Linked DNA regions of Callithrix jacchus. The protein of the gene in region 3 purifies or fractionates together with the protein of the main gene of each other region. This does not show direct contact. Links are inferred from orthologs where the notes say so. Each region holds a gene or a part of one and is shown on either strand. Other genes may lie near its edges.

The links. Proteins that work in one complex are often made in the same cells at the same time.
Region 1: the proteins of CCNA2 (region 3) and CDKN1C purify together in Homo sapiens (affinity purification with mass spectrometry; 3 studies listed by BioGRID and IntAct, counting the BioPlex papers as one, with this or other methods). This does not show direct contact. The link is inferred for Callithrix jacchus from reciprocal best matches to the Homo sapiens genes CCNA2 and CDKN1C.
Region 2: the proteins of CCNA2 (region 3) and CKS2 purify together in Homo sapiens (affinity purification with mass spectrometry; 3 studies listed by BioGRID and IntAct, counting the BioPlex papers as one, with this or other methods). This does not show direct contact. The link is inferred for Callithrix jacchus from reciprocal best matches to the Homo sapiens genes CCNA2 and CKS2.

Annotation. Positions count from the first base shown.
Region 1 is NC_133511.1:128,972,235-128,979,214, reverse strand, and holds CDKN1C (cyclin-dependent kinase inhibitor 1C), read right to left. Parts: upstream 4,050-6,980; 5' UTR 3,949-4,049; coding exon 3,009-3,948; intron 2,474-3,008; coding exon 2,343-2,473; 3' UTR 2,338-2,342; intron 2,248-2,337; 3' UTR 1,551-2,247; downstream 1-1,550. Other genes in the region: uncharacterized protein LOC118145682, read right to left, coding at 4,347-5,084, 5,456-5,593. UniProt on the Homo sapiens protein: Potent tight-binding inhibitor of several G1 cyclin/CDK complexes (cyclin E-CDK2, cyclin D2-CDK4, and cyclin A-CDK2) and, to lesser extent, of the mitotic cyclin B-CDC2. Negative regulator of cell proliferation.
Region 2 is NC_133502.1:73,156,803-73,163,730, reverse strand, and holds the start of CKS2 (cyclin-dependent kinases regulatory subunit 2), read right to left. Parts: upstream 4,050-6,928; 5' UTR 3,954-4,049; coding exon 3,895-3,953; intron 148-3,894; coding exon 20-147; intron 1-19. UniProt on the Homo sapiens protein: Binds to the catalytic subunit of the cyclin dependent kinases and is essential for their biological function.
Region 3 is NC_133504.1:75,861,473-75,868,707, reverse strand, and holds the start of CCNA2 (cyclin-A2), read right to left. Parts: upstream 3,884-7,235; 5' UTR 3,633-3,883; coding exon 3,420-3,632; intron 2,653-3,419; coding exon 2,409-2,652; intron 1,026-2,408; coding exon 913-1,025; intron 719-912; coding exon 495-718; intron 1-494. Other genes in the region: BBSome complex member BBS7, read right to left, coding at 6,123-6,256. UniProt on the Homo sapiens protein: Cyclin which controls both the G1/S and the G2/M transition phases of the cell cycle. Functions through the formation of specific serine/threonine protein kinase holoenzyme complexes with the cyclin-dependent protein kinases CDK1 or CDK2.

The DNA of each region.
Region 1 (6,980 bases), on a different chromosome or scaffold from region 3:
CACTGGGCCTCACCTTCATGTCCTCACAAAGCCCTCACACTGATTTTGAGAAAGCTACCCTTGAGTGACACTAGGGTAGTAGTTACATGTCCCGTGCCCAGGGTCCAGGACTGTGAGAAGCCAAGCAAGGTAGACGCCCCTCGGCCCAGCCTACGGCAGGAGACCCGGCATTAGACGTGGCTGTGGATGCTGAGGGCTCACCCCAGCAGCTTGATCACCAAAAACAATTAACTCAGGTCACCTTGTACGCCCACCAAACTGCCTGCCAGGCACCCAGTCCAGCCCCCTCCCAGCCCAGGGCAGAAGACACTGCTACCCTCCTTTATCTCAGAAGGGAAAGGGCTTTGTCCTGCTCATACAGGTGAAAGCGGTGGTTTCTTCCTGAGAGGAGAGGTCTGAAGGCTGAAGTCAGGTCTGCGTGGCCTGGTCCCGTTATCAGCTGAAAGTCCCTGTTGCCGAGCGGAAACAGCAGGGCCTGCCACTCTCGGGGCCCGGGGGCATTTCCCAGAGTCTGGCCCCAGCTGGGCCTCAAGGCCAGCCCCATTGCCCTCCTCGCCCAGCCCTTCCAGGCAGCTCGGGGAGGCTCAGTTAATTCTATGTCTAAATACGTCTCCAGCATCTCGAGTCCGGCCCCTCTTTGTCCCTGACACAGAGGGGAGGGGGTTGGGGGGAGTCAGCAACTGTCACGTAGGGCTCCATAAGAGTCCACCAGTTCTCTTCCCCTGGGCCAAGGCACCAGCAAAAATACTGCTAGCCGTTCTGTTTTTGCTGTTTTACGTCACCCTTTCCATTGTAAGCCATAATTTTCAGAGGTTTATAGGTCAGCTATTAAAATAAAAAAGTCTCTTACTAAGAGAGGGCTTTGAAACTAGTGGGCTGCTGGGGCAGACAGTGTGGGTGCAGGGGGTGCACACAGCCTCCACTTCTTCCACCAAAGCCTGGGCATCAGAAGCCACCTATCCCCAAGCCCTCCTGGTTCCAGGGTGCCCCCCTTGTCCTCCCACTTCTCCCTCCCCTCAGAGGCTTCGAGGCCATCCCTCCTCCACTGCAGGTGTGAATAGACCTTGAACACTCTGGCTGTCTTGTGGCAAGACCTAGGGAGACCCTGGTGCGAGGCCTGAAGAAGTCTGGAGGGACGACGTGCATTGGCGGAGCCCTGCTCCCCACCCCACACCCCTGTGCATCCTCGAACTAGCAGGGGCCTGAGCCCATCATCGGGGGCAGAGGGGTTGCCCATGGTTTCCTTGAAACAAGCCTGGGTCTGGGCAGCAAGTCAGGGGCTGTGCTGCCTGCCTGCTGGGGCTACGTGAAGCCCACACTTGTCTTTCTGCAGCCCCGAAGGTGGAAGGTGATAAATGTGGGGTGCAGTGCCGGCCAGCTGCCCCTCCTGAGATAAGGTGACTGGAGCAGGCGGGAGTGGGCCAGGCCCAGCCGGGAGAGAGGCTTCCCCTTTTGGACTGGGGATGGCCACTTTGGCCTGCTCTCTCCTGCGTTCTAGCTCTCCAGCTTTGGGGGTGCAGGAGGCAGGCACAAGCACAAACAGACTGGAGTTGCAGCATCTTTCGGCCTCTTTATTTAGAACCCGGCGGACGAGGGGCCGGGGCAGTGGTACAGTCGGCTCAGGAACCATTTTAACAGATTTGTCTTCAAGTTTAAGATAAACACAGTAATAGTAAGAGAGAGCGAAAGCGCGAAGAGAATGCAAGCTAGGTGGGCGTGATGGCAGCTACAGCTTGTGAGTGACCCCTTTCCCCAGAGTCCGCTATGAGAATAAAGTTATACACTTGTCAATAACGGGACGATGTGGGAGGTGGAGGTGCCTTTGGCATAACCAATAACCGAGCTAGTGCGTGGCAGAGCGGTCCACGCCTGGACATAAATAGAAAATATAAGTTAGTATAACTTTAAAAACTTTTTGTACAAATATACATGGTTTTTTTTATTTTTTACTTTTTTTTTACTTTTTTCTTTTTTTTTGCACTGAGTTTCAGCAGAGATTAAACATTTTATATAAATGACTCTTAAAGCTTTACACCTTGGGACCAGTGTACCTTCTCGTGCAGAATACATTTAGATATAAAAAGACGTAATCAATACATTGCACAGTTTTCAGAATTTAAACACCGAACGCTGCTCTGCGGCAGCCGCCGCCGGTTGCTGCTACATGAACGGTCCCAGCCGAGGCCCCAGCGCCCTTCCAACGTCCGCTGCCCCGGCAGGTTCCCTCGGGGCTCTTTGGGCTCTAAACTGCGGAGCGGGGGAGAGAGGGGAGGTCAGCAAAGTCCGAGAGCACCCCGCAGGAAGGCCCCCCGCGCCCCCCAGGTGCGCCGTACTCACTTGGCTCACCGCAGCCTCTTGCGCGGGGTCTGCTCCACCGAGCCCACGCCGGGGGCGCCGCTGGGAGCGGGACACGGCGGGGGGACCTCTCCCGACGCCTTCTCAGGCGCAGATCTCTTGCGCTTGGCGAAGAAATCTGCGGGCGACAGCGCGCACGGCCGGTCAGGGCGGGGCCGGCCGAGAGACCCAAGAGGGGGCCGGGAGAGGGCTTGGGGCGCGGGCTGGCCGGGGTGGGGGCGCCGTCCCTGCCCGCGCCGAGGTCTGCGGCGGGTCAGCTTTGTTTACGTCGCCGCGCAATGTGCTGTGTAAGCATTTCCCCTTGTCCCGCGGCCAAGCCCCCCGGGGCCGCCGCTGCGCTTAACCCCCTCCGCGCCGCGATCACGACGCCCGGCGGCGCCCGGGGAGGGTCTCCTGTGGCCGGGGGTGAAGGCTGCGCTCCCGGGGGGTCGCCGCCGGGGCTCCTCCTCCCACCCCGCCCGCGCAAGCCGCTCGAGGGCACGACCACGGGGCAGGGAGGGGGGTGAGGGCGCAGCCGCGCCCTGAGCGCTGCGGGCCCTTTAATGCCACGGGAGGAGGCGGGAACCCAGCGAGGCCCCCCGAGGGCTGGGGAGACCGGCCGGCGGGACAAAGCGGGGCCGGGCCGGGCCGGGGCGGGGCCGTGCGGGGCTCACCGGAGATCAGAGGCCCGGACAGCTTCTTGATCGCCGCGCCGTTGGCGCTGGCAGCAGCGGTGCCGGCCGCTGGACGTCCCGAAATCCCCGAGTGCAGCTGGTCAGCGAGAGGCTCCTGGCCGCGCTGCCCCTGGTTCGCGCCCTGCTCGGCACTCTCTTGAGGAGCCGCGTCCGGGGCCGGGCCCGGGGCGGGGGCCGGAGCCAAGGCCGGGCCCGGAACCGGGACCGGAGCTGGGACCGGGGCCGGGGCCGGGGCTGGGGCCGCGACCGGAGCCGGGGCCGGAGCCAGAACCGGAGCCAGAACCGGAGCCGGGGCCACGACCGGGGCCAAGACCGGGGCCACGACCGGGGCCGCGACCGGACCTGCGATCAGACCCGGAGCCACGACTGGAGCCGGGACCGGAGCCGGGATCTGAGCCGGGATCAGACCCGGAGCCACGACCGGAGCCACGTCCGGAACCGCGACCGGGGCCGGAGCCAGGACTGGGGCTGGGGGCGGGGTGGACGCCGGGGCCGGGACCGGGACATTAGGCAGCTGCTCCGGCGCCTCCTCGAGGCCGTCGAGGGACTCAGCGTCCGGCTCGAGGGGCGGGCTGACAGCCACCGCGACCGCGACGGGCCGCGGCGCCAGCAGCAGGCGGCAGCGCCCCACCTGCACCGTCTCGCGGTAGAACGCGGGCACCGACTCGCTGTCCACTTCGGTCCACTGCAGGCGTCCGGGGCCCCGCAGCGGCATGTCCTGCTGGAAGTCGTAGTCCCAGCGATTCTGGTCCTCGGCGTTCAGCTCGGCCAGGCGGGCCTGCAGCTCGCGGCTCAGCTCCTCGTGGTCCACCGGGCCGAAGAGGCTGCGGCAGGCGCTGGTGCGCACAAGTACTGGGAAGGTCCCACGGGCGACAAGACGCTCCATCACGGATGTGCTGCGGAGGGACGCGTCGGACATGGCCCGGGACTGCGCGATCGCGGGCAGCGGGAGAGGAGAGGACAGCGAGAAGAGGGGGAAGAGGACAGGAGGAGAGGGCGGAGGCCGGGCGCGAGGGAGACCCCGCGCAGCCCGACGCCGCGTGTGCGGGGGACGCGGCGGAAGGGCGGGCGCGGCGGCTACCTGGCGGTCGGGTCGAACACTCTCCTGCGTGGAATTCGCTGGTCTGGTCGGGCCGGCAACCGCGCCCCCTCGATGCCTGCTGGCTCGCTCGCTGCTCGGGCCTGGCTGGCACCCCTCGAGCACAGCGCACTTGGCCTGTGGAACGCCCAGCCCGCCTGCGCCCGCTTTATACGCGCGGGCCCCACCCCCGTGCGCGCGGGCCCGGCCGCGATTAGCATAATGTAGTATTTTCAGTTTCAACAACACCGCGGCGATTGGCCCCCGCCCCGCCGCCCCGCCCCTTCGCGGCCCCGCCCCCGCGCGCCGCCCATTGGCCGCGAGCACACCCACCGAGGGCGAGGCGGGGCGCGCGGCCGGGGCGCGCGGCTGATTGGCGGCCGCGGGGTGAGCGCGCTGTAGCAGGGGAAGGGGGCGGTGAGCGGGGCGGGGGCGGGAGTTAAAGGGCGCTGCGGGCGGTAACGTGACACCGCGACGCCCCGCCCCCTCGCCCCATCCCCCCCGCTGCCCCCCCCCCCCCGGCTCCCGCCCCCCGCCGGCTCCTTTGTCTGCAGGCGGGGGCCTCGGTCCAGCGCGGCAGGGGCCGGCTCCCGGCGGGTCCGGTGTCCGGCCAGGCCCCGCGCGACCCCGGCCCGGTCCGGACCCCGGCGCCCAGCCCCGTCCCGTGCTCGCCCCTGGGCCTCCTGCGCCGGCTGACGGGACTTGGACCCGCCGCTGCCAGCTCGGCCCCGGCCTGCGCCGGACGGGGTCTTCGGCTGCCCCCGCGCGGCCTGCTGCGGCTGCTGGGTTGTGTCCCTTCGAAGGGTCCGCGCACCTGGAGCCCTCACACACCTGCCGGCCCGAAGGCCCTCGAGTCGGGAAGGGGGGACGGGGTCAGCTCCACTCTTTCCCGGAGGGACCATGTGTAGGACACTTGGAGAGGCGCCCAGCAGCCCCCTGGGGCTGGAGAGAGAAGCCGCCATCTGCGGAGGCCTACCCTGCCCAGTAGATGGAACACAGGCTTAGCCCAAACTGGGCTGCGCCCATCATGTCACTGTCGGGGGTCCCGGCCCCCCTCAGCCTTGGGCCAGGCCACCCCAGCCCCGGGATCGGCCTGTTCAGGCTGCTTGGAGGCTGCTGTACTGGGTAAAAGTGAAAGATCTGCCTGAGGTCATAGGGGAAGGGGCTGAGAAGGACCATGCCCCTCCCCCACCTGCAGCCCTTCCTGGTACAGACCTTGGTCGTGCAAGCGCGCGCGCACACACACACACAAACACACACACACACACACACACACACTGCTTCACCCCAGCCAGACCAGACCCAGAGAGACCATTCTTTCCCGCTGTCTCCGCTTTGCCTCACTTACCATGAGGCAGGGAGCCCCCTCCTTAAACTGGGAGCCACCCAGGTCGGGAGGGGGACTGTCAGACACCTGTTGGAGGGTCCAGCAGTCTGGGAGCTCTGAGCCCCTGTCTCCAGTGAACCTGTGAGCAGCCAGAGACATCTGGGAGGGAGGGACGGCAAGGTCCCCTGAACCCCCAGCAGCCTGCCTCTGAGTCCCAAGACACCCCAGCCCCTGTGAAATGCCGTGACAGCGTGCAGATGCCACTGGGGGAGCAGGGTGGGTCTTCTGGGTCTGGGGAAGTGAGATCTAAAGTGAGGGGAGAGCTGTCCCGGACAGGGCGTTGACCCAGGAGAGGGGCCAGGGCCCTTGATGAACCACATGCAGGGATTTATGTCGATTTCATATTCTTCTCTGTGCACTATTTTTCAAGTTTCCCACAACAAGCACAGATGTGACAATTTTTATCTTAGGAAAACAAAGAGAAGCTGAAGAAGGCTCCAGAGGCCCTGCGAACCCCTCAAGCAGGACTCATATCAACTGGTCTGGGAGCAGAAAGAGGCAGGGTCTAGTCACCCCTGCCCTGTGCCAGGGCCTCCCCAGAGACTAGGAGCAAAGGGCCAGAGTGGGTAGTGACCTAGTGGCCCTCAGACACCCACACTCCAAACATCCGGACCCATTGGCCCTAGTGACACCCCTCGGAGGGTGTAGCTGCCTCACCCTGTGTTATAGAAAAGCAGCAAAAGTAGCAGAGACGTCGTGGGCCCCGAGGCCGCACAGCTGGGAGAAAGCGGGCTCGGAAGCTCCGGCTGCCTGGCTTTCTGGTTTGCTCTCCACTTAGGTTCCCTACTTTTATTTTTCCACTTTACCAGCTTAATTACAGAGTCAAACTCGGGGCTGTGGGGACTCCTCCCGTCTTGGCCTCATTAGAAGTCGAGAGGTGACCTGCTCTAAGTCTGTCACTCTGAATTCAATCAAGGGTGGTACCCAGTAGCTTATTAAAACTGCACATCCCAGGAGTGGGGACTGCGCCCGCCAGCCCAAGCCAGGGACACACCTGGAGGAAGGCACCCCAGGAGCTGGGGGCTGGGAGTTCCAGGCTCTGCGAGGGGGCCCAGTCCTCCAACCCAAAGGGCCCGGAAGCAAACATCTGTCTGGGTGCAACAATCAAGCTCTATTTTTGTCATTTAAAATGTCTCCAAAGGGAAAAAAGAAACCAAAGGAACAATATTTGTACTCTGTGTTGCTGCAGAGAGCAGAACTGGGGAGGGGTGCTGGTCAAAAGGCGTGGGCTGTGCTGTGCTAGTGCCCCAGCTCCTGCAAATGGGGGGGCCTCTGTGGGGGGCTCGTGAGTTCCGGGCCCTCGTGTGTATGTTCACGTCCTGTCATTCTTGCCCCCAGCCGAGAGAGCAGCAGAGGAAAGGCAGGACATCCACTAGCCTTTGCACTCTCCTCAGAGCACACGGAAAGACATTTCCCAGCTCTCTCGCACACAAGTGGGCCTCGGACCCGCTTTGGCCGGGAAGGTTTTCAGGAACGCTGGCTGTTC
Region 2 (6,928 bases), on a different chromosome or scaffold from region 3:
ATAATATAGCAAAGCTTACCTGGCTCATGAATCATGTAATGAACCCAGCCTAGACTCTGTTGGACACCAAGTCTCCTCCACTCCTCTTCAGACATCAGATGAGTTTTAGGTACTTGTTTGGAAAGTTCTCTGGGTAACATAACATGCCTGTTAAAAGATATAGTCAAGTATTAGTCCAGTTCCTTGTCTACAATTGTCTCTTTATACATGTACCTTTAGCAACTCTATGTTGCTTTAATATTGAGAACTACACTCTACTACCTATAATTCTAATTTGTGATGGCCTGTGTTCAAATTAGGGAGCTAAGAGTGCACAATTCAAAAGCAGAAGGCATTTTCCTTAGGATTAATTATTTTCTCTTAACAGAATGCTTACTAGTTTCCTTAATCTTCAGGAATAGAACCTCAAAATATAAGCTGAGCATATGGTTACCAGCCGCCAAGTCATAAGCCAACAAGATGTAAGAAAATATTTAACTTATGTGGAAAGTGTTCTCAAAGGTAAAGAACATGCTGAACTCTTTTTCCTTCTTGTTGAATGCACATTAATATGATAAGGGAGCCAGAGCAGGAATCCAGGACCATAGAAGCCACTGTAAATTGAGAATGGTAAAGCAACGAGGTAAGGATCCAGCCTAGTCCCTGGCTGTAGAGCTGTTATCCCTGCCCCACATTATTAGATTTTTATGTAAGGAAAAAGTCTGTTACAGTTAATTTGGGTTTCCTCTTACTCAACATAGCTTTGTAGTAGCTACTAGTCCTTGTATGCTCCAGAAGTTGCTTTATACAATATTAAAAACAGAAAACCACTAACTGCACATACACATTGTTTGCAACCTCAGTTTTCCAGTTAACTTACTGACTTATATCCAAAATTTACATTGTTCAGTTTCTTAGGCAAGCATGGAATAACCTTCAAAGTTAAACCATCAATATGTACAATTGTAGCCTTATGAAATTCTCAAAAACAAATCATTGTTAATAGCATCCCACAGCATTTTGTCAAAGATTTGCCAAATGAATCTTTTCAAATTGAATAAGAATTTTTACTCAATTATCATTAAAAAGGACTTTATAAATAAAGTCACAATTCTCGGCCCCATATCGACCATCTCCAGAAGTAGTAACAGTTTTTAACTGTTTTATACTTTATAACCACGAGCCCAAATTTTTTACCAGTGTTAAGATATCTGTCTGAGTCAGCTGGCTAGCAATGAATGAGGTGCAATATGGTCACATTCAGACACAGTAAACTGAATGCCTAACCCATTATAAGCACCAAGCCATCATCAACTTAAATTTAGTCTGTGGCTGGTTATTTAAGTACCAATTTATTTGCAGGGCAAAGTGGGCCTCAGAAAAATTCTATTATGTTGTTCGATTGCCTTAAAGCCACCAAGTCATAGGTTACTACCATAATTTGTACAGTTTTTACCAATTCCAGTGAACTATATGGTGACTTTTAGTAGTTCTTACCAGTTATCACCCACATTCTTGAAATGCTGCTTTAACATCTAACTTTTAAAGCTCTACAAATAAATCTGTTATCTTATTTCTATCTTCTATATTGATTATTCTCAAAGAGAAATATAGTGCTTTTGTACCTTTTCTTTCAGATTTACAGAGTAAGTAAATCTACCAACAAGTTATTTAGATAGAAATTACCACGCTTTTCTCCATAAACACAGAAACATGCTCTCCTCCATCAGCGTTTCTTTTTAAAGGAAAAATGTTTAAGTAGCATCCAGCCCATATGAGGATTCTAACTGTATTTTGCCATAGAGATAGTTTGCAAACTAACTACACGTAAGGACAATTATTTCAAAAAATCTAACGTTTATTTCAGTCGACATGCAAAACAGTGCTAAATTTATAAAGCTTCCCAGAGAAATCCTCAGTTCTTTGCCTGTAAAAACAGACTTCCATGATGTGGGGGTGGGGGCACCCACTGTTACATGCCCTTAGAAACATAAGACCCTCATGTAAAAGGACTAGGAAATTAATTTTGTAATCAAGAAAAATCAAAGAAAACTGCACACTGGCAAAAATACTATCCTTTGAAATATACATTGCATGCTGCCCCATTATATATTAATACAAACCACCCTAGATTCATGCCTTAGTGTTATATTATCACTAGTTTCCCCTTTATTTGTGGAGATTACTATCCTGTTTCATAAAGGTTAGTGGCTTGGTCATTTAATACCAGCTCTAATTTTTATTGGATTAAAATAAATCACTTCAGATATGTAAACTTGCTTCTATACATTCCACAAACAAATCAGCTGAGTATATTAAAACTAAAATATGGACTTACTGCCATCAGAAAGAAGTCTGAGAAATCGCTTGATTTTCAATATGCCCTAAAAGAAACTCATACCAACTTTTAAATCCTTATCCTAAACACTTGGCACTAGATGCGTTTCAGAATAATTTTCCAGGTTTTAGTAAGGTTATGGTTTTACATTGCGTTCATTATTAACGATCCTCAATAAGGCTCTTAACATCACATAATTGAACACTAGGCCAGCATATTACATGATTAAAACTGTATAGTTTAGTATTACTACAAGGTTAAGACAATCTACTTGAAATTTACCTACAGCCAGAAAAAACATGAGATTTTTCTAGTTAGGAATACAAAAGGGTGCAATTATTACTACCCATAGAAATCTTCAGTATTCCTTATGTGAAAACAGACTTCCATGCTTGTAGGGAGGGGGAGAAAAAGAGAAGCCACCCACTGCTGTTTTATTTCTTCCTTAAATAGCATTCGTAGAAATCGAACCTACAAGGGCAGCAGACAGAAAATAAGGTCGAAATTTGGCCAACGATGGCATGGGCTTTACCTCCCCTAAATCCTGGTAGTATCCCAGAATACAACGTTCTAGTCACTACCTAGTAGGACAAGGGGTTGACTGGTCTTTGAAGCCACGCCCTAAATGAGTGTCCCGAATACAATAAGGACAACAAATTTTAAATGTCCCTAACCCCTTCTCCCAGAAACATTTAAAATTTGTCTAATTTTACGGATCGATTATAACCACTACGTTCTAGTACATCGCTTCAGGACTCAAATGCAAAAGTTCCTCGAAGCCAAAAATTTGGCCAGTGTACACTAGCAGAAAATAATGCCCAAAGTCCACTCAAGCTCTTAATCGGCCTTAAAATGAAACTCCTTTAATAATGTCCTCAATTGTATGTCTGCGGCTAACCTATAATGGCCTAAATCACCATACCCAATAAACATTTTCAAATCCCCATCAAGCTCATTATTTTTCGGGGTTCCCCTAAAAATGAAAAAACATTTTCTTGTTTTTAGTGAGTACCACTCACTCCAAAAACAAGAAAATGAGGTGTGTTCCTCTATGCTAACAGATGAAAATTACCACTGTAAACCAGAAACTAGTAAAAGTTCCATCACCCAGGCAGCGAAGCGGGAGAGGTGTGCGACATGGCTGCGAACGGAAAACGACGGCTCTAGGTGGGTTTTCCGGGTCTGGTTCAAAGAGCTGGAACTGAGACCAGTTACTAAACGGTCTAATTTCTTCTGCCACAGCCGAGAGGAGAAGGACCGCACGGTCACTCGGCGTCGCCCAGGACCCCGGGCCCCTCAAGTTGCGCTGGTTCCTAAACGCCGCCCGCTGCGCGCTCTTCCCTCACCCTCCGCGTACACCTAACAAAGGCCCAACCGGCCGGGTGCGGCCGCGCACCCAACTTCGGCGGACTGCCGGGAGCAACAGGAGGCAGCGACCACCAACCCCATCCCTAGCCCTCCGGCTCCGGGCTCCGCCCCCAGGCCCCTGGCCCCCACTCCCTCTTCGGCTTTGGTCGCCCCGCCCGCGGGGGGCCCCGGCTAAGGGAGCCGGCTCGGGGTCGGAGAAAGCCGCTCACCGGTACTCGTAGTGCTCGTCGAAGTACTTGTCCGAGTAGTAGATCTGCTTGTGGGCCATCCTGCCGGCGGGCTGATGGAAATGAGAGAGCACGAAGCGGGAACAGCAGACAACTCGCACACGTCTGCTCAACGCAACGACTCGCTAGAGACTAACGACCGCAGTCCCAACGATCCCGATTTGAATCCGACAGCCCGCCGCCGATTGGACAGCAGCGCCGGCCAATCACCTTCTGCGGAAGTCAACCGGCTACCAGCCTATCGTCGCCGCCACCTCGCGGTTTCGGCTTCCCGGATCAGCCAATTAGAGACCTGTTGCGAGGTTGCAGTTGGAAGAATTGGAGAATAGGTACGGCACGTTGGACGGGTAGGGGCGTGGCCAGAGGAGGGCGGAGTCGGGACGTTAAGGGCGGTAGAGCCCGTGCGCAGGACCGTGGAATGTTCCAGGACACGGAACGGTTGGAGCGGAGGACATGAGGGTTGAGTAAAGTATCACGGGGTTTGGTGATGACGCAGTCGGTCGAGGCCGGAAGCGCGGGCCACAAAGCTTTGAACGGAAGCTGTCTAGCTCGGTTTCGGCGCTCTTCGTGCGCCTTATATCCCCTCAGGCTGGAGCCAGAAGCCTCGGTCCACTTTGAAAAGTAGTAGAAAACAGAAAGGCTCTGCGGTGTGAGGGGAGGGCGGCTGCGGTGTCTGATCGGTGAGGGGAGCGCCGGCGGCCACAGCGTGGCTGTGTCCCGCGCAGCCGTTCCGCCTCCCCTGCACTTGCTGAGGTTCCGGCCTGGCCAGTCCGGGGCTCCTAGCACGCCCCAGGCGAGTGTGTGGGGAATGGAGCCACGCGTAGTGGCGGCAAGCGCCAGTGGTCCCAGCCACTCGGGAGGCCGAGCGGAGGGTCGCTTGATCCCAGGAGTTCCAGACAGGCCTGGGCAACAGAGCGAGACCCGGTCTTTAAGTAAAGAAAAAAGAGATGGGCGTGAGACCCAGCATGCTTTCTGTAGCCTAATCTACTGTTCAAAACCGGGGCAGACCCAAGCCATGGAAAGCTTGAGGAAATAAAATAATGTTCTGCGGTGGCCAAGAATAACAGTGCTAAATAATTCCTGGGTAAGGGGATTAAAAATGATGTTTAAAAACTTTTGGTTTCTTAATATTGATCCTAGTTTAAAAACACATGTTCGACTGGGCGTGGTGGCTCACACCTGTAATCCCAGTACTCTGGGAGGCCAATGTGGGTGGATCACTTGAGGTAGGGAGTGCAGGACCAGCATGACCAACATGGAGAAAACCCGTGTCTATTAAAAATCCAAAATTAGCTGGGCATGGTGGCTCAAACTTGTAACCCCAGCTACTCGGATGGCTGAGGCAGGAGAATCTCTTGAACGTGGGAGGCGGAAGTGGTGAGCTGAGATCGCGCCATTTCTCTCCAGCCTGGGCAACAAGAGCTAAACTATGTATCAAAACAAAAACAAACAGAAAAAAAAGCACGTTTATAGAAAAGAAAGTTACTGGAAGAAACTTATGCCAAGATGTAAGTAGTGGTTGTTTTTAGATGACAGAATTGAAAGTGATCTTTCTGGTATTTTTCACATTTTCCACAATGAACACGTGCCATTTTTATATTAATTTCATTTTATGCTAATGGGTTCAGGGCGACTGTGACTAAAGAGACATAGACTGGTGGCATAGATGAAGTCCCCCAGACTAGATGCTGGAAGTGGGAGGTTTGGGAGCCAGCGAGGAGAGGGCTTTGTGGGAGCCCTTTTCCACACGGCAGATCACAGACAGGTTTTTGAACAAGTGAGGAAGCAGGCCCTCTAAGGCTATTTATAATCTGGATCCTGAGAGCCCCACTCTCATCTTGATTACCTCCCAAACGCCCCACCTCCTAACTTCCTAATACAATAATTGTGGGAAGAGGGTGTTTGAAATTTCTATTTTTTTTTTTTTGGAGCCAGTCTCACTTTGTTTCCCAGGCTGGAGTGCAGTGGTACAATCTCAGCTAACTGCAACCTCTGCCTTCAAGCCCTTCTCCTGCCTCAGCCTTCTGAGCAGCTGGGATTACAGGCCCCTACCAACATGCCCAGCTAGTTTTTGTATTTTTAGCAGAGACGGGGTTTTGCCACGTTGGTCAGGGTGGTCTCAAACTCCCATCCCCAAGTGATCCGCCCACCTTGGCCTCCCAAAGTGCTGGGATTGTCATAGGCATGTGAACCAGAGCAACTCCGTCTCAAACAGGAGCTGGGTAAGATGAGGCTAAAACCTATTGGGCTGCATTCCTAGACGGTTAAGGCCTTCTAACTCAAGGATGAAATAGGAGGTCAGCACAAAATACAGGTCATAAAGACCTTGCTGATAAAACAGGTTACAGTAAAGGAGCCAGCCAAAACCCACCAAAACCAAGATGGCGATGAGAGTGACCTCTGGTCGTCCTTATTGCTGCACTCCCACCAGTGCCATGACAGTTTACAAATGGCTTGGCAACTTCAGGAAGTTTCCCTATATGGTCTAAAAAGGAGAAGCATGAATAATCCCCCCCTTCTTTAATGTATCATCAAGAAATAACCATAAAAATGGGCAACCAGCAACCCTTAGGGGTCTATGGAGTAGCTATCCTTTTATTCCTTTAGTTTTTAAATAAACTTACTTTCACTTTGCACTGCGGACTCACCCTGAATTCTTTCTTGTGAGAGATCCAAGGACCCTCTCTTGGGATCTGAATCAGGACCCCTTTCTTGTAACAGAATTACAGGCATTAGCCAAGGCGCCCAGCCTGGAATTGCCACACACAGTTTGGTGGGTAGGAGCACACACACAGTCACACGATAGAATTCTTCAGGTGTCAGATTAAGGATTTCATCTTCTGAAAGGCCTTTCTTAATCACCTTCTCTAGAGAAAGTCCTTCAGTTTCCCCATTATGCCCTTGCCACAGACTCCACTTGCCTCCCACCGTTGCAATTGCATGTTTGCTTAGGTGGTGTTTGTCTCCCTATCTCCATTATAAAATATTCTCTGTGATGCCAGTGTAGAGACCATGT
Region 3 (7,235 bases):
AGCTCAGATTACAGGTTCATGCTATCATGCCTGGCTAATTTTTTGTATTTTCAGTAGAAATGGGGTTTTGCCATGTTGGCCAGGCTGGTCTCAAACTCCTAACCTCAAGTGATCTGCCCATCTCATCCTCCTAAACTGCTGGGATTACAGGAGTGAGCTACCACGCTTGGCCTTTACTTCTTAATGAAAGAGACACTGCTTATATGCCAGAAAGTACTTTAATATTGGAAGGAAAATGTTTTAAAATTTGTAATCTACTATACTATATATAATGTAGACAGTCTGTGTTCATTCAAGATAGGGGAAAATTAGGGTTCTAGATTAGAACACAGTTTCATCCTATTCCACTCCAAGCCCTACCACACTGCCATCCCTTAAAGTAGTCACTGACTCTCTGCCTGGTATAATATTAAAAGGTCACCATTAAAAATCAATTTCTTCCCTAAACAAAAGGTAGTGATAACTTTTAATCAAACAAACCTAGGTAGACTTACGAGGCTAACAGCATAGCAGCAGTGCCCACAAGCTGAAGCTTTCCTCTCAGCACGGACATGGAAGAAAGGAACCTATCAATGTAGTTCACAGCCAAATGCAGGGTCTCATTCTGTAGTTTATATTCTTCTCCTACTTCAACTAACCAGTCCACGAGGATAGCTCTCATACTGTTAGTGATGTCTGGCTGTTTCTTCATGTAACCCACCTTAGGTTTACATTTAACCTATTGAGAAAATTATTTAGTGTTAAAATTGCAATTAGATTATTTTACCATGAATTAAGAGAGGCTACATGCTATAAACTTAAGTGTATCATTAAAATAATTCATTAGCAGTTTAAAAACTTAACTATCTTCTTAATTTCACTTAGCCACATTTAACAAATATATTATACAAACTGGATTCAGAGAACTTTTACCTCCATTTCCCTAAGGTACGTGTGAATATCCTCATGGTAGTCTGGTACTTCATTAACACTCACTGGCTTTTCATCTTCTAATACAATTGACATGTCCATAGTATGTGGTGACTCTGGGACAATTCAAAAGATATGATTAAATTAATTGTCTATTTAGTTTAATAGCTAAAAATGACTGCCCTTGTAAGGAATCTTATATTAGCAAAGCACTTATTTCATCAAACTAAAAAGCTTCTCATGATGAAATATGTAGAATATTTTACCCTAGTCTTAGTATCTCTGTACATATATCTTTGGAATGACATTAGTTAATGAGGAAAAAAAAAATACATTGGTAGGCCCCTAACAAGAAAACGAGAATCATATATTATCTTAAAGCATTCAACTTCCATTACAGAAAGGAGCAGATGGCATGGTGGTTCTGTCAGGATAGAGCACTTAAAATCCAAGTTTTGAGATAATATCTAAGATTTGCCCTAATGCAAATCCCAGAGTCTGACATATACAAAGCCCAATTAAACAACAGCTGGAATCAGTTAAATGGTCTCCATTAACAAGTGTTATTAAGAAATTAGGTTTGTTGCTGGGCAAGGTGGCTCATGCCTGTAATCCCAGCACTTTGGGAGGCTGAGGCGGGTGGATCACCTGATGTCAGGAGTTCGAGACCAGCCTGACCAATATAGTGAAACCCCATCTTTAAAAAAAAAAAAAAAAAGAAATTAGGTTTGTTATGGACAAACAGATTAACACTATAAATAAGTATTTTTTGTAGTGTAAATTATCTTTTGAAGCAAAGAGTATCATCCATTATTCTTTTCACATCAAAGATCACCTTGAAATTAAACTTATTTTGCAAAATTTTAATAAAAACACACAAAATATTTCCAACGGACTTTTTCTGCTCACTCATCCTCCCCCACAATCAATACAACTAAAACTAAAATGAAATTTGATTTAGTGAGCTGTCCAGTGACTCAATATCCCTAGGGCAAAGAAATAATACAAACTTCGAAGAGCTGTTTACAGCAGCTACTTTAATACATGAGTAAGGGCAAACAGCCATGGTACAACTGTTGACCTGCAGGAGGGAAAGTGTCACTTTCTGGTATCAGATGATAAACCAGACTGGTTTTATATAAACAAAATTGTAACACTGCAAGAGATGTTATGTAATCACAATATTTAAAACTGCATCTTCAAATAGCACACTCTAAGTGATATATAAGTGAGTTAAATAAAACAAATCCATTCTCCAAGTACATTTACGGGATCAGATTAAAATAAGCATTTAAGATCTAATTATAATTAGATTGATATGATGGCAGTGAACCTGAAAGAGTACTGGATTAGGATCTTTTTGTAGGACACCAGGTCAAGTGTTAGCTGTGAGATCCAAGATAAGTCACACCCTTTTAAGCCTTGTTACATTAAACTTAACTCACTGTAGTCAAAATGACTACATGAGACATCACTCTAACAATTTCCTTAAAACTTACCAAAACTACCATCCATTGGATAATCAAGAGGTACCAATGGTTTTCTGGGTCCAGGTAAACTAACCGCTGAATTAAAAGCCATGACATCTTCACGCTCTGCCTTCTGGGATTCAGCTGGCTTCTTATGAGTCTCCTCTTCTGCTTCATCCACATGAATGGTGAATGCAGGCTGTTTACTGTTTGCTTTCCAAGAAGGAACGGTGACATGCTCATCATTTACAGGAAGATCCTTAAGGGGTGCAACCTAAAAAAAAAAAATTAATAACTGGCTTTGAGCCTACTTGAGTTTTGCATTCTTTCTCTTGTGAATGTCGGCTTTGCTTTTTCTCCTAAATACTCTACCAGGAATTAAACTTTCTGGGACAAAGAATAGTTTGAGTATTCAAAAAGAGAATAGATGTTCCCATTTGTCACAGGCATTCCCACAAAGGCTAACAGTTAACACTAGGTGGAATTATGCAAAAGTAATCAAGGCCACAAGAAGGGTCGGGTGGCAGGCCAATACATGACAAGTTTAGGAAAGACATGGCAAAAAGTGTTGTTGGTTCACCACTGTCGCCCGAGGGTGGAGCAACAGAGCAAATCCAGCTAAAATGGCGGAATTTGCCAAAAGCAAAGTATTTCGTACACCGTTTTCTAAAGTAGAGGTCATCTCTTCAGCATGAGATGGGAGAGGGGCAAAGTCCTAAAGCAGGGCCTGGGGTTTAAAAGTGGAGAGAAAGGCGAGGAGCTGAGCAGACTTACACGTTATAAAGCTTGGGTTTGACCCTATTATGTAAAGCAGATGCCCCTTATAGAGAGCAGAAAAGGCAGCATACACACAGTGTTGGCGGGATCGTGATGTTAAGAATCCCTATTGTGGCATCCCAGACACCAACACCAAGTGGACACCAGATCCTGGCCCCCTTCCAAAAGCCTAGGAGATGCCTTCTCGCCACTCTCCTCTGCCTGCTAAGCCAATGCCAAACCCTGCTCGACCCACCCTCCTGCAGATAACCCGCATCCTTTTACCCGTCGCGTCTTCGGCCTCTGCTGCTGCGATGCACCCCGGGGGTTCCCGGCCTTCAGTACCGCCAGCGCGGCCCGGGTCCGCGGTGGCTGGATAGGCGCTGCCTTTTCCGGGTTGATGTTCTCCTGGTCCTCTTGGAGCGCCGTCTGCTGCAATGCTAGCAGCGCCGAGCCCGCCTCGCGGGCTGCAGGCTCCGGCGCGGAGTTGCCCAACATCACTGTTCCCGGGGGCCGACGGCGGGATCAGCTTGCGGCGCCAAGCAGCGTGCACTCCGCCCAGCAGACCGGTCGCACCGACCCGGCCAAAGAACAGTCGTAGGCGCCGCTTACAGCCCAGGCCAGCCTACCTGCCCGCCCACTCACCCAGCTCGAGACCACGCAGGGCCGAGGAGGTTGTGAAAGGTGCAGGCAGGAACTGCCGGGCGTGGCGGGCCAAAGACGCCCGGAGATACAGATAGCAGCCCGCCGGAGCGGCGGCTGTTCTTGCAGTTCAAGTATCCCGCGACTATTGAAATGGACCAATGAAAGCGCCCCGGCCTTGACGTCATTCGAGGCGACAGGGTCGCAGGCAAGTGAAGGAAGCACAAAGGTAACAGAGCAGGGGAGGGGCAGGAAAGAGAAACCACCTAGGGCTGAGGCGGGAGGAAGAACGCCTGTGCGGGAGTGGGGCTCAGGGCCCAAGCTTCTGATTACTTTAAACTGATCCACCTAGGGCAAGGCGGTCCAGAGGCTGACCCTAAGCCTTTTAGGGAATTAAACGGAATTAAACTTTAGCGACTATGATTTGGGCTGCCCCAGGTTTTAGCTCTGGGATCTCTAGTTAGCTTAACTGACTTTTTCCCAAGGTTTAAAATCTGGGCCACGTTTTTCAATATCTCCAAATCTCTGTTTTTTTAATCTGTTAATAGGGAATAATATCTACAGTCATGGTTGTTAGAATTAAATAATGCCCATAAATCATTTAACACGGGGCTCACATAGTAATACAGTACTCAATTAGCAGACTATAATGTCATCTTAACATTTAGGTGTTTATTCACAGTAACCAGAAATTGTGTTTTTGTTTTTTTTTTTCCTAATGAAGATGCAATTTAAGATGCTACCTTGAACTACATAATAATATCTACATCTATAATAAATAGCAATACATTACAAAATATTCAAATAGTCATTAATTTTTATCTATTTTCCCCAAGCTGTGGCAGCAAACAAAAAACAATGAAATTCTAGTGACCTAGATATAATTATGTTCCTTTCAGAAGTAAAGTTTCTCTAAATATAGCAAAAACAATATGACCTTGTTAAAATAAAACTCAAGTCTTAAGTATATGTGCCTTTAACAAATTTTTATATTTATATAAAAAGCTAGTCCGGGCGCGGTGGCTCACGCCTGTAATCCCAGCAGTTTGGGAGACCGAGGCGGGTGGATCACGAGGTCAAGAGATCAAGACCATCCTGGTCAATATGGTGAAACCCCGTCTCTACTAAAAATACAAAAAATTAGCTGGGCATGGTGGCGCGTGCCTGTAATCCCAGCTACTCAGGAGGTTGAGGCAGGAGAATTGCCTGAACCCAGGAGGCGGAGGTGAGCCGAGATCGCGTCATTGCACCCCAGCCTGGGTAACAAGAGCGAAACTCCGTCTCAAAAAAAAAAAAAAGCTTGCACGTAACTAATAAGTATAATAGCATATCATTAAGAAGCACTGTTTTCTACAAAATTTGTGAGCCAGCTCTTCTCGAAACATAAAGCATATTTTACATTATCTTTTTGCTAGTTTAAAACCTTTCAATACAGTATTCCCTTGAAATTAATAAATATGAATTAAGATTAATGTACAAAACTTCTGTAGCCTTAATGTCATATATGATAAAAAGAGATCTAGAAGATACTAGTATAGGAAAATCTAAGATGGCATCACTATTTCTACACTCTTCCCCTGTAGCACGTTTGTATAGTTACAGCATGTCTAGTTAAGATCCCTCCACTCTGTGTAAGCTCTCATTTCCCTGGCTATAATTTATAGCACTGAGCCAAGTCGAGCATTTCACAAACTGCAGCGGAGTCCTAAAACATTCCTAAGCAAAAGGGAAATCAGTTGCAAATTAATCCTATCTCCTAGAAAAAATAATTGGTAGATTTTTCCACTAGCTGACACCATACATAGTAACCAGGACAGCACAAAGGAAGTACCAGGATTTGGGTTCTTGTCCAGCTATATAAAATACTAGCATGTCCTCTTAATCACAAGATTTCAGTGAGAATCAGTTTTCTTATATGATTTGACAAACTTATGCAACAGTTGTGAAGATCAAATAAGGTAATATATAAAAATACATTCTGAAACCTACAAAGCAGTTTATACATTTATGTGTTTCTATACCTTATAATACATTTGAATATATTTTCATTTTCCACATATTAGTTCTCAATTTAAAAATTAAAATAGCCACTTGCCAAAAATTCATTAAAATCCTATTTAAATCATTCCACTAGTGTTTTAAAAATAAAAATACTCTTCTAGTTTTAAAAAGTTCCATTTGTCAAAAGAAATAGAAGCATTACTTTAAAAAGCCATTATATCTCAAATATTTTTAGATATAAAAAAGGGTTTGAAATTAAAGTATGTACAGAGTTAACTTCTAATTCTGTTTTAACATTTTTCATTTAAACAGAACACTTCCTCGGGACTTTACCTTATTCGTATTTCATGCTGTGTCAAAGAATGAAATCAATGCATTTTGGTCATAACTGTCCAGAATTTCCAGGAGAAGAGGTACTTTAGTTTTTACATTGGTGCCTTTGAACTTAAATTTATCTATGAAAAGATCAGTGATCATGCCTATAAAACAAAAAGGTAAATTTCCTGTCACTGATTAGTTCTATTTAATGACAGTATTTCATTAAAGTAAATGCTTGATAATCTATTTTTAAGCACGTGTAATTCTATTACTTATCATACACAAACCTAAAAGACATGATGGTTTTAAAAATATTCATTTGGGGGGACTTTAAAACAAGTTTCAAGATATAAATCATTAGCCTAATAACCCTCTTAACAATTGATTACAACCTGTTAAATTAGACAACTGCTGGCCATTTTTGAACTGCTATCAGTATATATAACATCACAATTAGTGGTGTCTTTTTTCCAACAGCCGATCATTTTGACATAGTGTAGGCAGATTCTATTTTTAACAGCTTTATCTGAATTAAAACATTCCACCTATATGTTGACCATTCTTGGGATTTGACTTGAAGGCAAATAGTCCTAGGTTCAAAGATCTGGGCAAATCATTTCACCTTGAGTTTTCTCTTATGTAAAATAGGAATAACTCAAGCTGTCAATCCTTTATCCAAAAAGCTTGATGCAATATGTATTTTAGAATTTTTCCTATTTTAAGAAGATAATGAAAGGAATATACTATAGTATTAACCCCAAGGGGACTGAGTGGCAGCATCCAATAGCAAAACATAGTACTATTTCTGTCACAAAATACATGGATGAGTTCGTGTCGTTTGTAGGGACATGGATGAATCTGGAGAACATCACTCTCAGCAAACTGACACAAGAACAGAAAATGAAACACCGCATATTCTCACTCATAGGCGGGTGATGAAAAATGAGAACACATGGACACAGGGAGGGGAGTACTAAACACTGGGGTCTATTGGGGGGGAAAGGGGAGAGCCAGAGGCGGGGGGCAGGGAGGAGCTGGGGAGAGAGAGCCTGGGGAGAAATGCCAAATGTGGGTAAAGGGGAGAAAGGAAGCAAAACACACTGCCATGTGTGTACCTATGCAACTGTCTTGCATGTTCTG